Linked DNA regions of Caenorhabditis elegans. The protein of the gene in region 3 interacts with the protein of the main gene of each other region in a pairwise test. Each region holds a gene or a part of one and is shown on either strand. Other genes may lie near its edges.

Region 1 (4,871 bases), on a different chromosome or scaffold from region 3:
CTAAAACAATGATCCTAATTATTCACTCTTGCTTTTTTAAATTCTCACTTTACTCCAATTCGTTCCCATATTGTTCTTAGCAAATTCCAATCGCTTGAGTTTATGGTCTGCAGAGAGTAACGGAGCAGGGCGAAGTTTCTGACGAACGATTACACCAGATCGTTTGATGACATTGAGGATGGTCCTTTTTGAAGCAGACAATTGAAGCTCATTGCGAATATCTCTTGCCGTCTTACAGGAGTTGGAGGCAGCACGAATCACATTTCGTTCGTCACGCACGGAGAGAGCTTTGCGACGAGGAGCTCTTTTAGATGTACCGTAGCTCACCGGATCCTTCAGATACACGCGAATACAGTGTCGAGAACGGGAAATTTTCCTACTCATTTCATGCAGGGACACATTGAGCAATTTCATAACATCCAGCTGAGCGCGTTCAGTGTCCGAAAGGGCAGATCCTCGAGGCATTGCAAGTTAGACTGCTTTCGAAGTAAGCTTTCCAGCCTCTATATGTGTGCCACAACACATGCCACAATTCCACATTTAATAATTCACGCAAAAAATAGTAAATAACATCTGTGAGGGACAATTTAACTTGAAATATTGGTCCCATGGAACCTTGTAATCAAAGAAAAACGATTTGATTCCTGATAAGCCTTCCATTGTTTCCTGCTGCATATTTTGCCAAATCAGCTTGACTACACAGTCGAAACATCTAAAGTGCGTGCTAGGAATTTTAGTAGGAACTTGTTAAAGAGAGTTTATCAAGTTTTGGCATTACCGAGAGCACCAGGAAGCTTGAAACAGACTTGAACATCAAAGATCGGAAGAATCAGAACCAGTCTGGAGATCCCACGAGAACATTTCGTATTAATTTTTTAAAGTCAAAACTGCTTATCTGAACTCATTTCTAACTCAAACTTGATTTGAGCTTTGTCAAAAATTCCAAAATCTGTTGATTTTAGTAAAAATCGTGAAAAAAAACGGGGGGTCCTATAGAAGTTTCACACTGGATTTTGACGTTTTTTCCAGCGCGACCTCAGTTTTTGAGATAAACTTCTGGAAAAAAATGTATATAGGTTTTTTTCAATTTAAAAACGAATGGCATTAGCAGTTTTTCAAAAAAATTTTCGGAAGTTCCTCAAACCTTCAAATTAGGGGGGGGTCCTATAGAACTTTCCCACACTGTATTTCAAATTTCTAGAAGCAGCCGACATTTGCCTGGTTTCTAGAAACAGCCGACATTCGCCGGGCTTCTAGAAGCAGCCGACATTTGCTTAGTTTCTAGAAGCAGCCGACATTTGCTTAGTTTCTAGAAGCAGCCGACATTTGCCGGGCTTCTAGAAGCAGCCGACATTTCCCTTGTTTCTAGAAACGGCCGACACATCACGGGTTACTGGAAGCTCCCTTCAAGTTTACCTAGGAGCAGCCGACAACTCACCGGAAAGCTCTCCTGATTTCTGACATATTGACTATGGAACAAAGTGGACACATCGAAATCCGGGTCATTCTTCATCATCATTGATATTCCAATAGGCATTGTGATATGATTATTCCCGCAAGTCGCCTGATCTTCAACATCCAATAAAAATGACAAAATAACATCTTCATTATTGGAAACTGGAGAATCGCAGCCATTCGGTGAGGGTAGGGATGCATCGATGCTTCCACTATTCGTGTCGGACTTCATCTTCTTCTTCCGTGGATTCTTCTGCTTGCCGATGACGTCACGATCCGGTCGAATGGCTTCTGGCTCCATGCCAACTGTCAGGCAACGCTGGAACCGGCAGTAACGGCATGCGTTGCGTTGATCCTTGTCGATGGCGCATTTTTGGGTGAATCGGCAGGTGTAGGTCTGTTGGGATCGGATTGTTCGGCGGAAGAAGCCCTTACAACCTGAAATTTTAGAAATTTGAGCGATATCTCAAAAATTGAATCTTGAAAAAGTTGTGTAAACTATTGAAATATTCCAGTCGAAAACATGAATAAGTCATAAATTGCATGATTTTTGATAGCTCAAAGTTTAAGCTCAGGCTTAGGCTTAGGCTTAAGCCTAAGCTTAGGCTCAGGCGTAGGCTTAGGATTTGGCTCAAAGCTAGGATTAGGCTTAGGCTTAGGCTTAGTCTTATGCTTAGGCTTAGGCTTAGGCTTAGGCTCAGGCCTAGGTTTAAGCTTAGGCTTCGGCTTAGGATTAGGCCTAGGGTCATAAACTCAAGACCTTAGGCTTAGGCTTAGGCTCAAAGCTAGGATCAAGCTTAGGCTTAGGCTTAGTCTTATGCTTAGGCTTAGGCTTAGGCTTAGGCTCAGGCCTAGGATTAAGCTTAGGCTTATGCTTAGGTTTAGGCTTAGGGCCATAAACTTCAGACCATAGGGTTAGGCTTAGGCTTAGGATTAGGCTTGGGCTTGGGCTTTGGCTTAGCACCTTAGGCTTAGGCTTAGGCCTAAATTGGAAAAAAAGAAAAACTCACCATAACAAGCCATTACTCCATAGTGTTTTCCAGCCGACCTGTCTCCACACACCATACACTGCCCATCACCATTATCCATTCCTGGCATGACCTGTTGACTGAAATTTTTTTAAAGTTTTTGGGGGTTTTGTATCTCAATTGTAATCTGTGAGTACTGTAGCTAGGTACCATACGGGTACTGTAGTTGGATTAGGGGTACTGTAACTTGACACCATATGGATACTGTAACTCTACTTAGTTCCTTTATGATTACTGTAGCTAGGAACCATTTGTGTACTGTAGCTATGAACTATATGGGTGCTGTACATCAGCCCATATGGTTACTGTAACTACTGTTGCTATGTACAACATGTGTATTGTAGCTATGATCTATTTGGGTACTGTAGCTAGACCCCATAGGGGTACCAAAACTAGACTATAGGTACTGTAGTTAGGTACCATATGGGCACTGTAGTTGATTCAGGGGTACTGTAGGTGATAGACTATGAATACCGTAGGGTACTGTACACTCACCCATCATCCTCGTCTGTTCCAGAACCATGATGTCCATAGGTATAAACCGTCGAAGGAGCAAACATATAGAGATGCTGCAAAAAAAAGAAGATGAGATTTTATATTATATTTTTAGTCGGAGCAATAAGTAAAAAATGAGAAAATAAAAATCTTTGATGCTTTGAAAGGAAGGGAGAAGCGTGACGGATATGAGGGGGAGGGGATAGAAAAAAGAGCAAAATGAGCAGAATATTTTTGAGTAAAACTTGAGAAAAAAAGAGGGAAAACAGCTCTAAAGCCTAAGCCTAAGCCTAAGTCTAAGTCTAAGCTCAAGAATAAGCCTAAGCCTGAGCTTAACCCTAAGCCTAAGCCTCAGCCAAAGCCGATTACTAAACTTTGGTCTATGCCTAAGCCTAAACCTAAGCCTAAGGCTAAATATAAACCTAAGCCTAAGCCTAAGCCTAAGCCTAACCCTAAGCCTGAAACTAGGCCTAGGCCTAAGACAACCACGCAAAGAAAACCAACCGGACAAAACTGAAAAGTAAGTGTCCAATTTTGGCCTGACCCCCAATTTCTCAACAAAATTTCCCGCCAAATCAATTTTTAGGAACCAGTTTTCTCTTTTAAGATGATGTTTTCTGTTTCTTTTCGTTTTTTTTTTTGAGAGAGAGTAACCGGGGAAAGTTTTAGGGGGCAGAAAGGGAGAAAGATTGGAAAAGAAAATTGGGGAAATTTCGTTCGACCGGTTTTCTGAATTTTCTGGTAGAAGTTGGATGGGGGAATTTTGTGGGAATTTTTCGGGGGAAATTGAAAATTTTCAGATATTTTAGAGTAATTTTGAAAATTGTCGGACTGTAGGAATTTTTCCGAATTTTTAGAGCTTTTTCCAAAAAAATTTTCAGACTTTTTTTTGAAATTTTTTAAATGGAAATTGACACCAAAAATTGCTCTTCGGCTAAAGACACTTAGATATCCTAATTTTTAAAGGTACATAAACTATCACTTTTAAAATTGCGGAAAAAAAAGTTTTTTTTCGAAAAAAAACAACTATCTGAACAAACAAAAAGTTCTAGATTTTCCGTCGATCTCAAATTACCAACGTTTTTTTTCTTTTTTTCTCGTCATGAATTCTCAAACTAGAAACAACTTTGTTCTGTTTTGAAAAAAATTAGAAAATTGGTAATTTTTAATCTCAAAAATTTGAAAAAAAAATCGGGAAAAATTAAAAAATAATTTTTTAAATAGATTTTTACAGGAAATGTATGGTTTTTTTTGAAAATTATAGATATTTTAGAAACATATAAAGTTTAAAGAGAAATCAAAAAAAACCTCCCAAAAATTAGGAAAGTTTTTGAAAAAAAAACAATTTTTGGCAATTTTTTTTCAAAAAATCGAACAATTCCAAAACTTCCCCAAAATCAAAATTTTCCAAATTTTCCAAATTCCATACTAAAATCATGCTCAGGGATCCATAAAATGTTGCATTTTCTTTTCCTGTCTCCCCCAAAAAAATGTGGAGGTGAGCTCTCTTTTTCTCCGGAGAGCCAGCGGAGAGGAAATTTTTTTCTCTCCATTTTTTTCTAGCGTCTCGTGCGTGTTTGTGTGTATGTATGTGTATGTTTAGAACGGAAACATGCATTACATTTCGAAACCTTCTCCCTTTTAGTGCTCGAGCCCCCAGAAGCTGAGAAGGGGGGCAAAAAGGTGGAAAGAATTTGTGGAGAAAAGGAGAAAAAGGAGAAAAATGTGAAGGGAAAAAAAGAAGAAAAAAACGGAGAAAAGTAACAAACTTGTGTGGTGGTGGTGGCAGAAAATGAGGGCGACACGACGAGGACAGCGTGGCGTGTGGAGGGAGAAAAGTGGGCGGAGCCTCTGGAAGGTTAAGCTCATTTTGTAGAGAAAATTACAATGAGA
Region 2 (4,793 bases), on a different chromosome or scaffold from region 3:
ATGGGTGGGATAGAAGAAGGGGGAGAGAAGTGGTCTGCGTCTCGTGAAAGTGAACAATGATTGCGTGAAGTTCAAACCAGATGTGGATATGTGTCTAGGATTTTGGAGATTTTCAGAACTAGAATTTAGGTTTTAGGCTGACTTTTTCGAGATTACAATGAATGGTTTATTTTCTTGAGATTTTTGTGGGTAGCACTACCTTGGAATACCGTATTATCCCTGCCAGACTTGAAACATTTTCAGTGTCTTTCAACATACCAGAAAAAAGCTAAAGCTTGCGCTATGAGTTTTCTTGATTTAAAACTTTAAAAATAAGAACTTTCACCTTTTGAAATTATTTACATTTCTTCGAAAGAATCGGACTTCTACAGACTACAGTTTTCAAATTTATTTTCCGAAAATTTTCCCACTGTTTTCTTAGTTTCTCTAGAATCTTTACCTGCTCAAAGTTCACACCTATTCATTTTTGTTTTCCCGTTTGTTGTTTTTTTTTTCATTCACCTTTTCTTTTTCCCCCATTCATCGAGCTTTTTTTGGTGTCTGTCATCGAGTCCATGGGCTTAGCGAGGCTTGAAGATGAGCGCGCGCAACTTTTCGCGTTGATTGTCGCATTATTCCCCCGCGATCCCATTTTGCTCTTCTCATCGCAACAGCAGCAGGCTCACACGTCGTTATAGTCTCCTGTTTGTTTCGCAAAAAAGGACTTGGCGTCCCCGAGAAGAAAACGATACGCAAACACATATATAGATTGCAAGCAAGAGTGAGAGGTGTGTGCAAGCTTAACTCGGAACACAACGGGAGCCACCTCTCGACCTTGTATGGGAGAAGAGTCAATGCGCCTGGAGGTTGAGAAAAGAAAACAATGATCTTGATCCAAAATGATCTCGATTTCTTTTTTGAGCATTTCCAAACATCCAGAGAGCTCATACCGTAACTTCCTACTATTTTTAACATCAAAGCTCTATATGCTATAAGATTATGAAAAATGTGATTGAAAAATGGAGATTTTGAGAACATCCAGGGATCATCCAATGGTGGTTTACAACTTTTGATAGCTTATTTTATCCATTATAATATCCAGATTTTTCACAATTTGTCACTTGTTATAGTAGCTTTGTGACAGATTTTTATTTTATTTTTGCTTGAAATGCTCTCCACAGGGTGGTTTTTTTCGCTGTTCTCTGTATTTGAACAATTTTTTAAGATTTTTTCAGTTTTATTTCAGCTAGAAAAGTTTAGAGTAAATAGGCTACGGTATAAAAAATAGGTTACGGTAGAAAAACAAAATCTTCGTAAATTGTTTAGATTTTTTGAAATTTTCAGTTGACGATTAGGTAAAATGGTAAAAAAGAAATGTTCAAATGAAAATATTTTTAAAAAAATTTGAATTTCAAAAATTTGTTGCAGAAGTTTAGAGCGTTCATGTAGGCGCCAAAACGTCATTTCTTAATTTAAAAAAAAGTTCAGAAAAATGCGCGAAGATGGTGTGAGGAAGCCAGTTTTCAGGCAGGCGCCATGTTTTGAAACCGAGCCTGCCTTGTATAGAAGCAATGCAGAAATGAACATTTTCATGTTCAACATCTGAAATTATGAGTGATTGCAAAAAAAACCATTTTAAAACATTTTTTGAAAAGTTTACTTGGCTCTAAATTTAAAACTTTTGTTTTTCAGAAACCTAAATCTTCAATGTTAGAAGCTACCGTAACCCTTCTCCCCCGTTTTCAAAAAATCTCATCTCTCCTTAATTTGTATTTTCAGAGCATCCTACAACCTCTTCTCCAACGTGCTCCAGCCAACTGACCACTTCACTCTCTGAAACCGTTCGCAATCAGCGGAAGACGCTGGTGGGGATTCGTCTCCGGCCGCCTGCGCCTGTACACACAATGACATAGACACAAAGAAAAGGTGAGGAGTGTGATCGTATTGAGAAATGTGCGAAAACGGGAGTAGGAGCTCCTGTGCTCAACCTTCTTATTCTCTTTATTTGACATATCGAGAGCATAGAGATGGACACCCCCTTAGAGCCACATTTGGACTTAGGCCAACGCCTGTGGTAGATTTGAAATTTCTAGTTTCTTGTTATGTTGTTTTCTTGTTTTGCTTTTCACCTTCTGAAGCTTCAGAAGCTTCTTTTGCCATCATCAACCCAATTACTATAAAGTAACAGAAACTTTCGCTGATGCTTCTCTTTCCTTCGTTTTTCTGGTACAAGTATCCGCCATCGAATGAAAAAATCTTGTTTTTAGCCCTCCCTAGTGTTCGTTGATGTTTCTTTTGTACATATATCCGTCGCTCTCTCCACCTCCATCTACTTCGATGGCAGTTGTTTTGGTGCAGGCACCAGGGGCGCAAAGGTGAAAGTGACGAAAGAGGCGTGGCAACCAGGAAAGAGTGGACCCTTAGTTTCCCAACGATTCGCCGCTTTCCCTCCATTTTCTCTAAACTTTCTCAGCTTTTCGGCTTTATCGACAGCTTCGTTCACCGTTCTCGATCATTTTTCTCACCTGAATTTTCAAAACTTTTGTCTTTTTTCCATGGAATACTTTTACATTTTCTATATGTAGTTTCATTTGTTCCAAAAAAATAAGTATTTTCTGGATAATAGGTTTCTGTATCTAAGTTTACGGTAGGTGCAAGTAACTTTGCGTAAAAATTGAAAATTAAAATGATTACTCAACTTTTTGAATACCATATTTCTCTAAAAAAGACTTGTCTTAGACCTTGCTCAACTTTGACAGTTTTGGCTCCAAATGGTTTCATCAAACAACTGTCAATTGACAAAATACGTGCAAAATATTTTTTCTATATTTTGATAGTGGAACATTTTTTGATAAAAACCTAAGAAAATCGAGATATAAGCCACTCAAATTATAACATTTTTTAGAAGCTAGAAAACGTAATTTTCAGTTTTACCTTGTCCCCCTGAAAGTTCATGAATTTCAATTTAATTATTTTTTTCCAAAAACCGCATCGTGCCAAAGATTTTCATTTTAAGCTTTATCCTAGATCCACCCGACCAGATTACCATAAGTTGAACTTGTTTTGTTTGTTGAGTTTTTATTCCAGCAAAATCGCACCGTATCTCATCTCTGATTTGTTATTCCCATTGTTTTCTGGTGGAGGTTTCGTATTCGAAATTTTTTTTTTAATTTTTAACGGCAATTTTGAATGTATTTTTCAAATGTTAACGAAGAGTTTTTTCGATAGTGTTACTGGATCTTTGATAAGCATATGATCTTCTTAGCTTTATCGTCTGATTTAAGTCCAGTAAAAAAATAATCTAGAAAAAGTTGAGCAGGTTTTATGACTGTTTTTGTGAGGAATTGTAGATTTGATTGAACATTTTTATAATCTAAAATTATTTTTAACTCAAACTTCAAAAAGCACTTCAAAAATGCAACGAGTATGATGGATGGAAGTCAACCACAAAAAAACATATTTTTTAGATTTCTAAAACTGAAGGCTCTAATTTTTTAAACATTAAGTTTCTAGTAACAAAGTCAAAATTTACTCTGCTATTTCGTACTAGCTACTTCCTCATTTCGAATTTTCAACTTTGACCTCATGGACATATCCACGTGTCGACACAATTTCTAATCGGCTAAGCTCCTACTTAGTCAGTTTTCATCGCGACTAATATTTAACAACGATGGCCTTATCCTATTCAGTTAAGCCTTGGATTCAAAAATTTTGAAAATCTCATACGAAATTGAAAACCTATCAACGTATCAAGTTGGTGTCGGGTCTTCTATATTTTTTTTGGTTAAAAAGAAGATTGAAGCCCTTTAAATTTTATCCAGCTTCATCGAAGATTTCACAAATTTCAATGAAATTATTCTTCAAAAATCATCGAGTCTCCTCCCTTCTTCCCCCACTTTTTCGACATTAACTTCCCATTTTTTGAGAGGTCATCAAACTTTTAATGATCTCTCGAGTCGTCCATCAACTTTCACTCATTTCACAGTTGTTTTACGGCTCATAACTCCGCGAATCTCGCACCCATATAAACTCTCATTTTGCTTGATAATTTCACACTCAGTTGCAATGAGTACTGTAGTCTTTATGAAGTCTAAACTTAAAATTTTCACGCCAAAATAATGTGAGAATTTTAAATTTTCTAACCATGATTGAGAGAAATTTCCAAAAAGTTACTGTATTTCCTTACATTACTTCACTTTGAAAAGTTACATTTCGGTTTATTTTGAAGATTTCAAATTTTCGTACTATTCCTTTAAAAAAACATAAATAATAAAATTTATGAAGTATCTCATTGGTTTCACTGCTTCATATTTCTGGGAAATAAAATATTTCTATTGACCTAAACTATCTTAAAATTATCTATATTCCAATTTAATACTATGTACTTTCCATCTCACCCATCTACCGAGTTAACTGCAAAATTTTTCAAAAGTTATGAAACTAATTATTCCTCCGGCAAACAAATGTGCCTATCACACGCTCTATTCATACCATATTAACTTGCTAATCAACTACTTTTGTGTTGTTAATCACTGACACATATGTAAATTTCATCCTCCAATATCTCGCTCCTATTGTTCCTCCTGTTTTTGAATCATGGTGGTGCTGCCAACTCAGCTCCACTTAGGGGCGGCGCCTGATGTCCAATTGGGCTCTGCCGGCTTTTGCTACCAACTCATTACTTTTACACCTACGGTACCTATTTTTTGTGTTTTTCAGGATACCTCTCAACTATTCATCAGCTTCATCTAGTCATCTTCTTTTACCTGTAAGTAGTGAACAAAACAAAAACTCGAAGATCCAATGTTTTGCCT
Region 3 (3,691 bases):
TTTTTTGGCAAAAGTCCCAATTTCTGCTAGATTGAAAATTGAACAATTTGAAGCTGCCCATTGAAATCAGTGCAAAATTCTGATATTAGAAATATATACTTTACCCACATTTAGTGTTCATTTTTCAGCACAAATTGCGCCATTCTACGCCACCGCGCCACGTTTTCATGGCGCCAACTCAACGCAATCAGTGACTCATCCTGAGCTGGCAACATGGTCAAGTGTGGTAAAGCACTCGACCGTGGAGTCAACAGTCGAGGGTTCAATCCCCTCACCGAACCAAGGTGGTTCTGAGTTGCTCACATGCTCAGATAAGTGGAAGTTCGGAAGATTGATGATCAAAAAGGTGGTGTTGAATCTTATTGTTTCATTCAACATTGACAAAAGATCGAAAAATGTTTTTTTCATTTTCATAGAATTGTCTTCAACTAGGCTTATACTCTTTTCACTCTCTTTTTCTGCTTTAGTTTCCCACAGCGTTTGTCAGAAATAACAAAGTTTGTATGATTTTTTTCCAATTTTTCCGGAAGAAATTTATGTTGGTAGGAATGTTTTGAACTGGAAACTTTTTTATATACAGAATTGGTTCAATAAAATCTAAAAAGTGAATAAGTTGAATTAATGTATAAATGAAATATTTTTATGAAAAACTTGTCAAGAGATCACCCGGTTGAGGACATCGAATACATCCGTCCAGCAAGATCCGTCTGCAAAACAATTTTTAATATAATATGACTGAAATTTCCATGGCAACATACCATTTCCACCTGATGCTCCACATATTGCTTCAACTCGTCTATATCCTTTCGAAACTCCTCCTCAACATCCAGAATATCCTTGTTGCCGTCTTCATAAGCCCATAGTCCAGATCTCACGTCTCTGCAAATTGAAAGTATAAAAAAACATATACGAATAGTTTTTGGAGTTATTTCTTAAGTTTTTTTTGGAGTTATTCTTAAGTAAGTGCTAGTGATTAAATTTAGCAAAATTTATAAACCAAAAAAATACAGTTTTTATGAGTATTCACATATTTTTGTTTTTCCAAAAAACTGATAAAAAGAAATTTTGGTGAAATTTTTGGAGAAATTGTGGGGTTCTTATCAGGGCTGTGCGGCAACCGGCAATTGCCGAAGTTGCCAAACCCAAAAAATTTTGGCAACCGGCAAATTTTGGTTGCCGAAATTTCGGCAAATTTTTGGCAACCGGCAACTTGGTTGCCGGTTGCCGCACAGTTCTGGTTCTTATGTCTAAATTATATGAACAGCAATTGTATGATTTGGCTATATAACTTGTTATCTGATATTTTTTAGCAGAACTTTATTTTTATTTTTTGTTGTAATTACATTCTGGATTTACTTGAATTTGTTGAAAATTATATGAAAACCAATTTTTAAACGCTACACGCAAATCTGACAACAAAATTCAGTTTCCGATAATATTTGAAAAAGAATTTGAAATGTTTCAAATTTTTGTTAAAAATATTTCTACAAACTTCACAAAACTCACCTTTCTCGACGAAAGCACAGTTCGGTGTCCAGAACCCAGGCCACATGATTAACAAACTCCCATTTGTACATATCGTGAAACACTTTGTAATACGGGAACAAGTCGGTGATCCACTTGACAACTACTTCAATCTCCGGAAACACGTCATCCGCTTCTTCCATCGCAGCACTGACCAGGGCGACCATTTTGAACTTGGGCATCGCCATTTCCGGATGATGAAGCCCCATAATTTGGTTCATTTCGTGAGTGAAATACGTCATGGTAGCTGAAAATGAAAATTTACTTAGTTAGTTGAAGGTTCTCAAATTTATTTGCCACGTACATAATAAAGGAAATACAGAAATGTCTTGTTTTTTTGGATCTTATATTGCGGCAACTTGCCGAGTGGGAAAAAATTTAAATCGTGCAGACGTCAGATTCAGTTAGGCGAAAATTACATGAAAAATAACAAAAAAAAAACCACAAAAAAGTATAGCTGTGGATATGAGAGAATGGCACATTCAAATGTCAGCAAACGGCCATAAACCATCGATCGATAATAGTGTGCGGAAGACGAGGGCAGACCTGTCGCGCGACTCACGCATTGCAGGCAACACCAACTTGTCGTAGGTCAAATCTTGACACGACAACGAACTCGTAATGACCAAATCAAAAGGAAACAAAAAAATTGAAAAAAAATTGAATTTCGAAATTATGAAAAGTTTGAGTCGGCTATATCTGAGCATAGTTGAAGGTTTTATAAAATTGATGATTGTAAAGATGAAAAAAAACTTTAATTGAAGATGGACAACGGCCTGTGGGAAAAGATTAAAACTCGTTCACATTAAAATTTAAAAATGTCCAAATATCATAATAAAAATATTCAAAAAAAAAGTTACCTTCAGTTTTAAATTTGACTCACGTTTCCAGTAATCCTATTTTAATATTGTTGGGATTCAAACAAGCAACAGTGTTTTGGTTTCTCCAAAATTGGCGCACGATCAGACCCGAAATAAAAAAAAATTCCACAAATTTTTAAAAGATCCATTATAATATTTAGTCATTTCCTAACTGTTAGAAGGATTGTTAAAGCTAAACAATTCATAAAAATTTCCATAAAAGTTATTCATAGAAAAACATGGAAAAACAGAAAATTTTCACAAAAATATTAAAATGAAATTTTTTCCAGAAATAAGCAGAACAACAACGGCATATCTTGCAGCAAAAAGAAATGCCGCACTACTAACAAGGAAAGAAAGCAAATCTAGTTCCGGACTATGAATCTTTGAATTTCCTGCCAAAATGTTTTTTTTTCTCAGGAAATTTGAGTTTCTCGCCTAAATTTTTTCTTAGAAAATTTGAATGTCCCGCCAATAACTATGGGACTCCCCCCGGTAATCCAAATATAGGCGCAAAAAACAAAAATGAAAATTTTCAAAGTTTAGAAGAATTCCTATGGTATTCGACAGAAGTTTTTTCACAAAAATTTTGGAATTTTGGTAGGGTTTCCATAGATTTGGATTCTAAATTTTTTAAAAGATTATGGATAAGTTTCTGGACCTACAAGTTATATTCTAGCCGCGCTAGAGGGGTTTTTGTCTTCAATTCATTTTTTTACATACATATGATTGCACTTTTTTGCAAAAAAAAAATTTTGGAATTTTAGGAGAATTTCTATGAAAATGGATTGCTAATTTTTTTTAGTATTACGTTTCTGGGTCAAGAAATTCGTTTTTGGTCGCGCTATAGGGGTTTTTGTCTTGAATTCCAATTTCAACAGGTTTCCTCAATATCAACAATTTCAACAGGCACAAAAAAACAAAAATAAAAATTTTGGAATTTTGGGAGAATTTCTATGAAAATGGATTGCTAATTTTTTTAAAAGTATTATGGGTACGTTTCTGGGTCAAGAAATTCGTTTTTGTTCGCGCTACAGGGGTTTTTGTCTTGTATTCCAATTTCAACAGGTATTTACAGGCACAAAAAACAAAAATAAAAATTTCGGAATTTTGGGAGAATTTCTATGAAAATGGATTGCTAATTTTTTTTTTAGTATTATGGGTTCGTTTCTGGGTCAAGAAATTCGTTTTTGGTCGCGCTACAGGGGTTTTTGTCTTCAATTCATTTTTTTACATACATATGACTGCACTTTTTTGCAAAAAAAAAATTTTGAAATTTTTGGAGAGTTTCTATGAGAATGGTTTGC
Region 4 (4,500 bases), on a different chromosome or scaffold from region 3:
TTTATGAAGTATGAAAAATAACTTCATGCACTCGAGGCGTGTTCGCCTCTTCACTCACCCTACTGAAGGGCGCGAGGAAGGCGAGTGGGAAGGCGGGAATAGGCTCCCCGTGACGCCTACACTAGGTGGAATGTCTATTTGATCCGGTTCTTAATGATATAAATGAGTAGAAAGTTGGAGAAAAGCACCACGTGAAAAGCCAAGTTTCAACAGTAACTACAGTAATCCTCACTTCAATCAAACCATCAGAATCCTCGTCAAACATCTTGAATACATCGAAAAGACGACGTCGAATATCTTCTGAACTTCCTTTTTTGTTTAAATTGGACAAAATATTACAAACCAACAATTACAGAATCTACTTCTTCTTTTTGGCTCTCATTTTCCCCTTCTTCTTCAATGTTTAATAAATCTTCATCTTCGCTCAGATCCATAATTTAGCTGAATACTAATATAATGTAGATCGCTCTAGTTGTTGCGCGAGTTTAGTGGTCTTTTCTGTCGGAAATATACGTTTTCTGGTTGAATAATTTTTATATTAAATACTACAAAAACGGAAATTGAATTCTAAAGCATGACAAATATAAAAATGAAGAGAAAAATTGAATTAGAGAGACAAAGAGCAAAACAAGTTAAACATATGACAGAGAACATTTGGAAGGTTTAATGAAAAGCGACGAGCATCCTGATTTATGAAGGTGTGGGTCGGTAATGGTTCATATTGGGAGAACATCGAAGTGATTAAATTTTGATTTGCCAGTGAACGACAAAAAATGAATAAAACAAGAGAAATAGAGAATAGGGTAGACCCGGTGAGGATTTGTTTTTTTTTTCTTAACTTGGAGCAATAGAAAAGGAGAAATTTAGATCAGAAATGGAGGGCAACGAGACCATTGAAAAGTACACGATTAGGAGAAGAATAAAATTTCTCATAGAGAAGTGAGGATCACGGACGGCCAATAGGCAGTGCTGGAGGAGGCATCAACTCGCGATCCTTGTCTTCCTGAAAATGATAATTTTGCTTTAGATCAAAAGGATCACAGAACCGTAAATCAAATTACATCTTTAGAACATTTTGATTCTATGTCTAAACTTTTCAAATATTACCTTGGCTATATTCCTAGAAGCTTCCTCGTAGAGATCATCATCAATACATTTTTCAGGTTTTAACTTCTTTGGGCGTCCTCGCTTTGGTCTGTCTTCTCCATCACCATCAGTAGATGCTCGTTTTAATCCTGTGAGACGTTGTCCTTCAGAATCTTTTTTCGAGTATTTGAGCATTCCTAGCATACCATTTACGAGTTGAGTTGTCGGAGTGCTAGGAGAAAGTGGTACGGTGGCTGTGAGTTCTTGAACTACTGGATAATTGGATGGAATCCCTTGAAGATAAAGTGGAAGTGGTGCTGCTGGGGATTGCGGATCAACTAAATAAGGAGAAATAGTTCCATCTTCTTGTTTCAATGCTTGTTGATCCATTTGCATCATTTGCATCTGCGCATTGGCAAGAATTGCACTAGCAAAATCTGAATTTTGTTGCTCTTGGAGCATTTGCTGTCCTCTCAATGTCATGCCGGTACGTGCAGTATTCAATTCAGATGCTTGCTGTGGAAGTGCAACATCTTTGAAGACTGATTCTAGAAATGAAAAGTGTGGAGTGTTGAGAACCGCCTGCTTCATGTGTTGAGGGTTTAGCGTCTTTGAAGATGTGAATTGAGTAGCTTCTGCGGCAGCCTCAAATATATATTCAAGGTTCAAAATAACTATGACTGAGTCTTCTCACCTGTAAAAACTTCTCCGCAAAATGCTCCATTGCTCTTCCGATGCTGACAGGAACTGACTGAACCATTCTTCCGATATCCTCATCACTTTGCATAACCTTCTTTATGCGTGTTGGCTGAATTTTTGCAGTGCTGAAACGACGTCTTCGGATCACAGCAGCTGCCTGTTGCTGCTGTTGGTTGCTGCTACCTGTTGATGATGAAGCACCGGCTGATGAAGTGGATGCCAACGTTGACATTTTTTCTGAAAAATAAATTTAAATAACGATTTGATCCTAATCTGTTAATTCTTAGATATTACATCTACAAATTGTTTTAAGTCGCATATTTTTTGAAGTTTCTAGATAGTTCATGATCCAGAAATGATGCCGGATACTGACGGTTTTACCCAAAACAAATTAAGGGTTTTTGAAAATAAATAAGCTTTCATTTTAAGATTTTATGAATGTACGTTTTCCGATTATCTATAATCGAGTTTCTTTTTTGTTCCATCCACCCTAAAAGATAAGGTCAAAACTAACGAGTAGCCGATGCATAATTGACGGGTAACATCGGCACCGCAAAGCCAACATCGCTTCCTCTATTCTGATCCATCTTGTTTTCTCCTCTCTCGAAATATGTATTCTCTGGTTTCCTTCCAAAAGTGTCAGTGTCTCCGACGGAAACGTTGCTGACGAGAGAAGACGATGTTGTGGAGATTTGGAGGCACAAAATGAGAGAGAGAAAGAACGAACAACGGGTGGTTTTCGAGAGATATAGAACTATTCCGAAGACGTCATCGATGATGGGCCTGAGACTAACTGAAAGTTGGAAGCTACTGTATAATACTCTTGAGGTAAAGCGATGAAATGAGAGATTATTGAACCATGAAAGAAGGACATGATGTTTCATTCATAGAAGCTCTCTTAACAACTTTGGAAAAGACATTTAGAGCCCATGAATAATCAACGCAAACTTTTTTTTCTAAAATTAATGGTCACTATTTGATATTGATTGGAATTATTAAAATATTCTGTGCTCAGTAACAAAGGGATTCAGATAATTAGATTTTGTTATATTTCATTTCCCGTTAGAGCAACTCCGTTTCGCAACAAGTGTGTTATGTTCTATATGTTCTGTATGTACACAGCCGTTCGGGTCTCATCGATCACTATAACAATATAGATCATCACATCAGTACAACAATTGATAACAAAAAAGAGGCGTGATGGTATCTTCCTTTTTTCTATTTCTCGCTTTCATTTTGGTTATTTCATTCTTTAATGATAACGCCATTTATTCCATTCTGCGTCGTGTCGATTCGATTCGATGTCAACGCACACACACACACTTACACATCTACTGGCCAGGACTGGAGGAGAGCGCGTAAAGACGAGTGATTGAGCGCTTCGGTGAGGAGACGAGAGAATCTAAGGGAAATAGTGTATAAAGAGGAGATAGAAGGGGGAAAAACGGAGAATAGGAGCAGAAAGGCGCTGGCCGATCACACGCAGACCTCGCGTTCTTCCCTCCTTTATATACAGCGGACAAATCGGTGATTCGCAGGTCTGCGCGACTACGGTACCCGCTGCTTGTTCTGCGTCTCCACGTGTCGTTTCACTACCTTTTCCCCCTTTTATTTAGCGTGCGCCCGCGCCGCGCCGATGTTTGAGAGTCTTTGATGCAGCTGTACGGGCCGAGATGAGAGGGAAGAGAAGATGAGAGAAGCAGAGAGTTGAGGGAAAGAACATAGACTCCTCCTCCGCATACTCGATTTGTATGTTTTTGTGTGGACAGACGGACAGATGGATAGATGGCTGATTTGTCAGCTTGCCGTCGAATTATTGATTGTTCTTTTGTGAAGCAAAGTCGAGATATTGAAATGATGAAATTATCTTAACTGTTCAGTATTTGCATAAAGAATTATTGAACGGATATTTTTGCAATTGTTGCCTATGAGGTGATTGAGATCTTTTTGCGAATTTTTATTCTCCAATTTACTAGAAAAAAAACTTAGAGGCAAATTTGCGCAAACATTTTTAAGTTCAGACCAGGATGGGCGGCAAAAGAACATTTTCGGCAAATATATTGATCGACATTGATCAAGTTAAAAATTTGGCCAAATGTCTTGTGCACATTTAAAATATTTTGAAAAAAATCTACAAATGAAAGAAAATTTAATTCGTACAGCAGTGAAGTTTTTGTGGCAAAAGATTTATCTAATTTTTCTTTGTATATTAACTTATAAAAATTTACAGATTTTCAGATTTTCTTCTTGGATATGAACATTTTTAGAGAATTTTCAATTTCCCAGCAATCGGCATTTTTGGAAATTGATGAATTGATGAACTTTCGATAACTCAGTATTTTCCGCAATTGTTTAACTGTCAAAATAGCGAAATTGGAATTGTCGCCCAGCTGGTTCAGACTACTTAGAATTAATAGAAAATGTGATATCTTTTCAGAAAAAAAAATCAGAAATTCAGTCGACGATTGAATTCAACATTGTTTTTCGGAAAGAACGAAATTGAACACGAATTTACTATTTAATTATGCAGAGTTTTTTAGTTTATCGATTTTCAATATTAAATTTTAACCAATAAAAGAACTCACCAGTGACAATTGGCTGCTGCTGAAGTCTCAAATGGCTTTCACGTCGTCGAAGTATCTGAAATATTACTAAATTTTTATAAATTAAGAGAATTGTAGAATAAATGAAAGTAGACAAGAGAAAAAACAAAAT

What was found.
Region 1: the proteins of T27A8.2 (region 3) and nhr-88 interact in a two-hybrid assay, tested with the Caenorhabditis elegans proteins (one large-scale study listed by BioGRID).
Region 2: the proteins of T27A8.2 (region 3) and fozi-1 interact in a two-hybrid assay, tested with the Caenorhabditis elegans proteins (one large-scale study listed by BioGRID).
Region 4: the proteins of T27A8.2 (region 3) and drap-1 interact in a two-hybrid assay, tested with the Caenorhabditis elegans proteins (one large-scale study listed by BioGRID).

Annotation. Positions count from the first base shown.
Region 1 is NC_003280.10:2,976,597-2,981,467, reverse strand, and holds the start of nhr-88 (Nuclear hormone receptor E75), read right to left. Parts: upstream 3,053-4,871; 5' UTR 3,044-3,052; coding exon 2,979-3,043; intron 2,564-2,978; coding exon 2,466-2,563; intron 2,200-2,465; exon of another isoform or gene 2,125-2,199; intron 2,080-2,124; exon of another isoform or gene 2,026-2,079; intron 1,894-2,025; coding exon 1,439-1,893; intron 713-1,438; coding exon of another isoform or gene 623-712; exon of another isoform or gene 538-622; intron 1-537.
Region 2 is NC_003281.10:9,280,029-9,284,821, forward strand, and holds the start of fozi-1 (Formin-homology and zinc finger domains protein 1), read left to right. Parts: upstream 1-1,752; 5' UTR 1,753-1,905; intron 1,906-4,793. UniProt on the Caenorhabditis elegans protein: Acts redundantly with hlh-1 to promote body wall muscle cell and coelomocyte specification in postembryonic mesoderm progenitors, probably through suppression of sem-2.
Region 3 is NC_003284.9:16,057,169-16,060,859, forward strand, and holds T27A8.2 (Fork-head domain-containing protein), read right to left. Parts: upstream 1,778-3,691; 5' UTR 1,767-1,777; coding exon 1,507-1,766; intron 880-1,506; coding exon 759-879; intron 708-758; coding exon 663-707; 3' UTR 508-662; downstream 1-507.
Region 4 is NC_003283.11:9,730,037-9,734,536, reverse strand, and holds drap-1 (Transcription factor CBF/NF-Y/archaeal histone domain-containing protein), read right to left. Parts: upstream 2,579-4,500; 5' UTR 2,373-2,578; coding exon 2,300-2,372; intron 2,023-2,299; coding exon 1,781-2,022; intron 1,732-1,780; coding exon 1,108-1,731; intron 1,004-1,107; coding exon 947-1,003; 3' UTR 515-946; downstream 1-514. Other genes in the region: cal-7 (EF-hand domain-containing protein), read right to left, coding at 233-300, 344-434.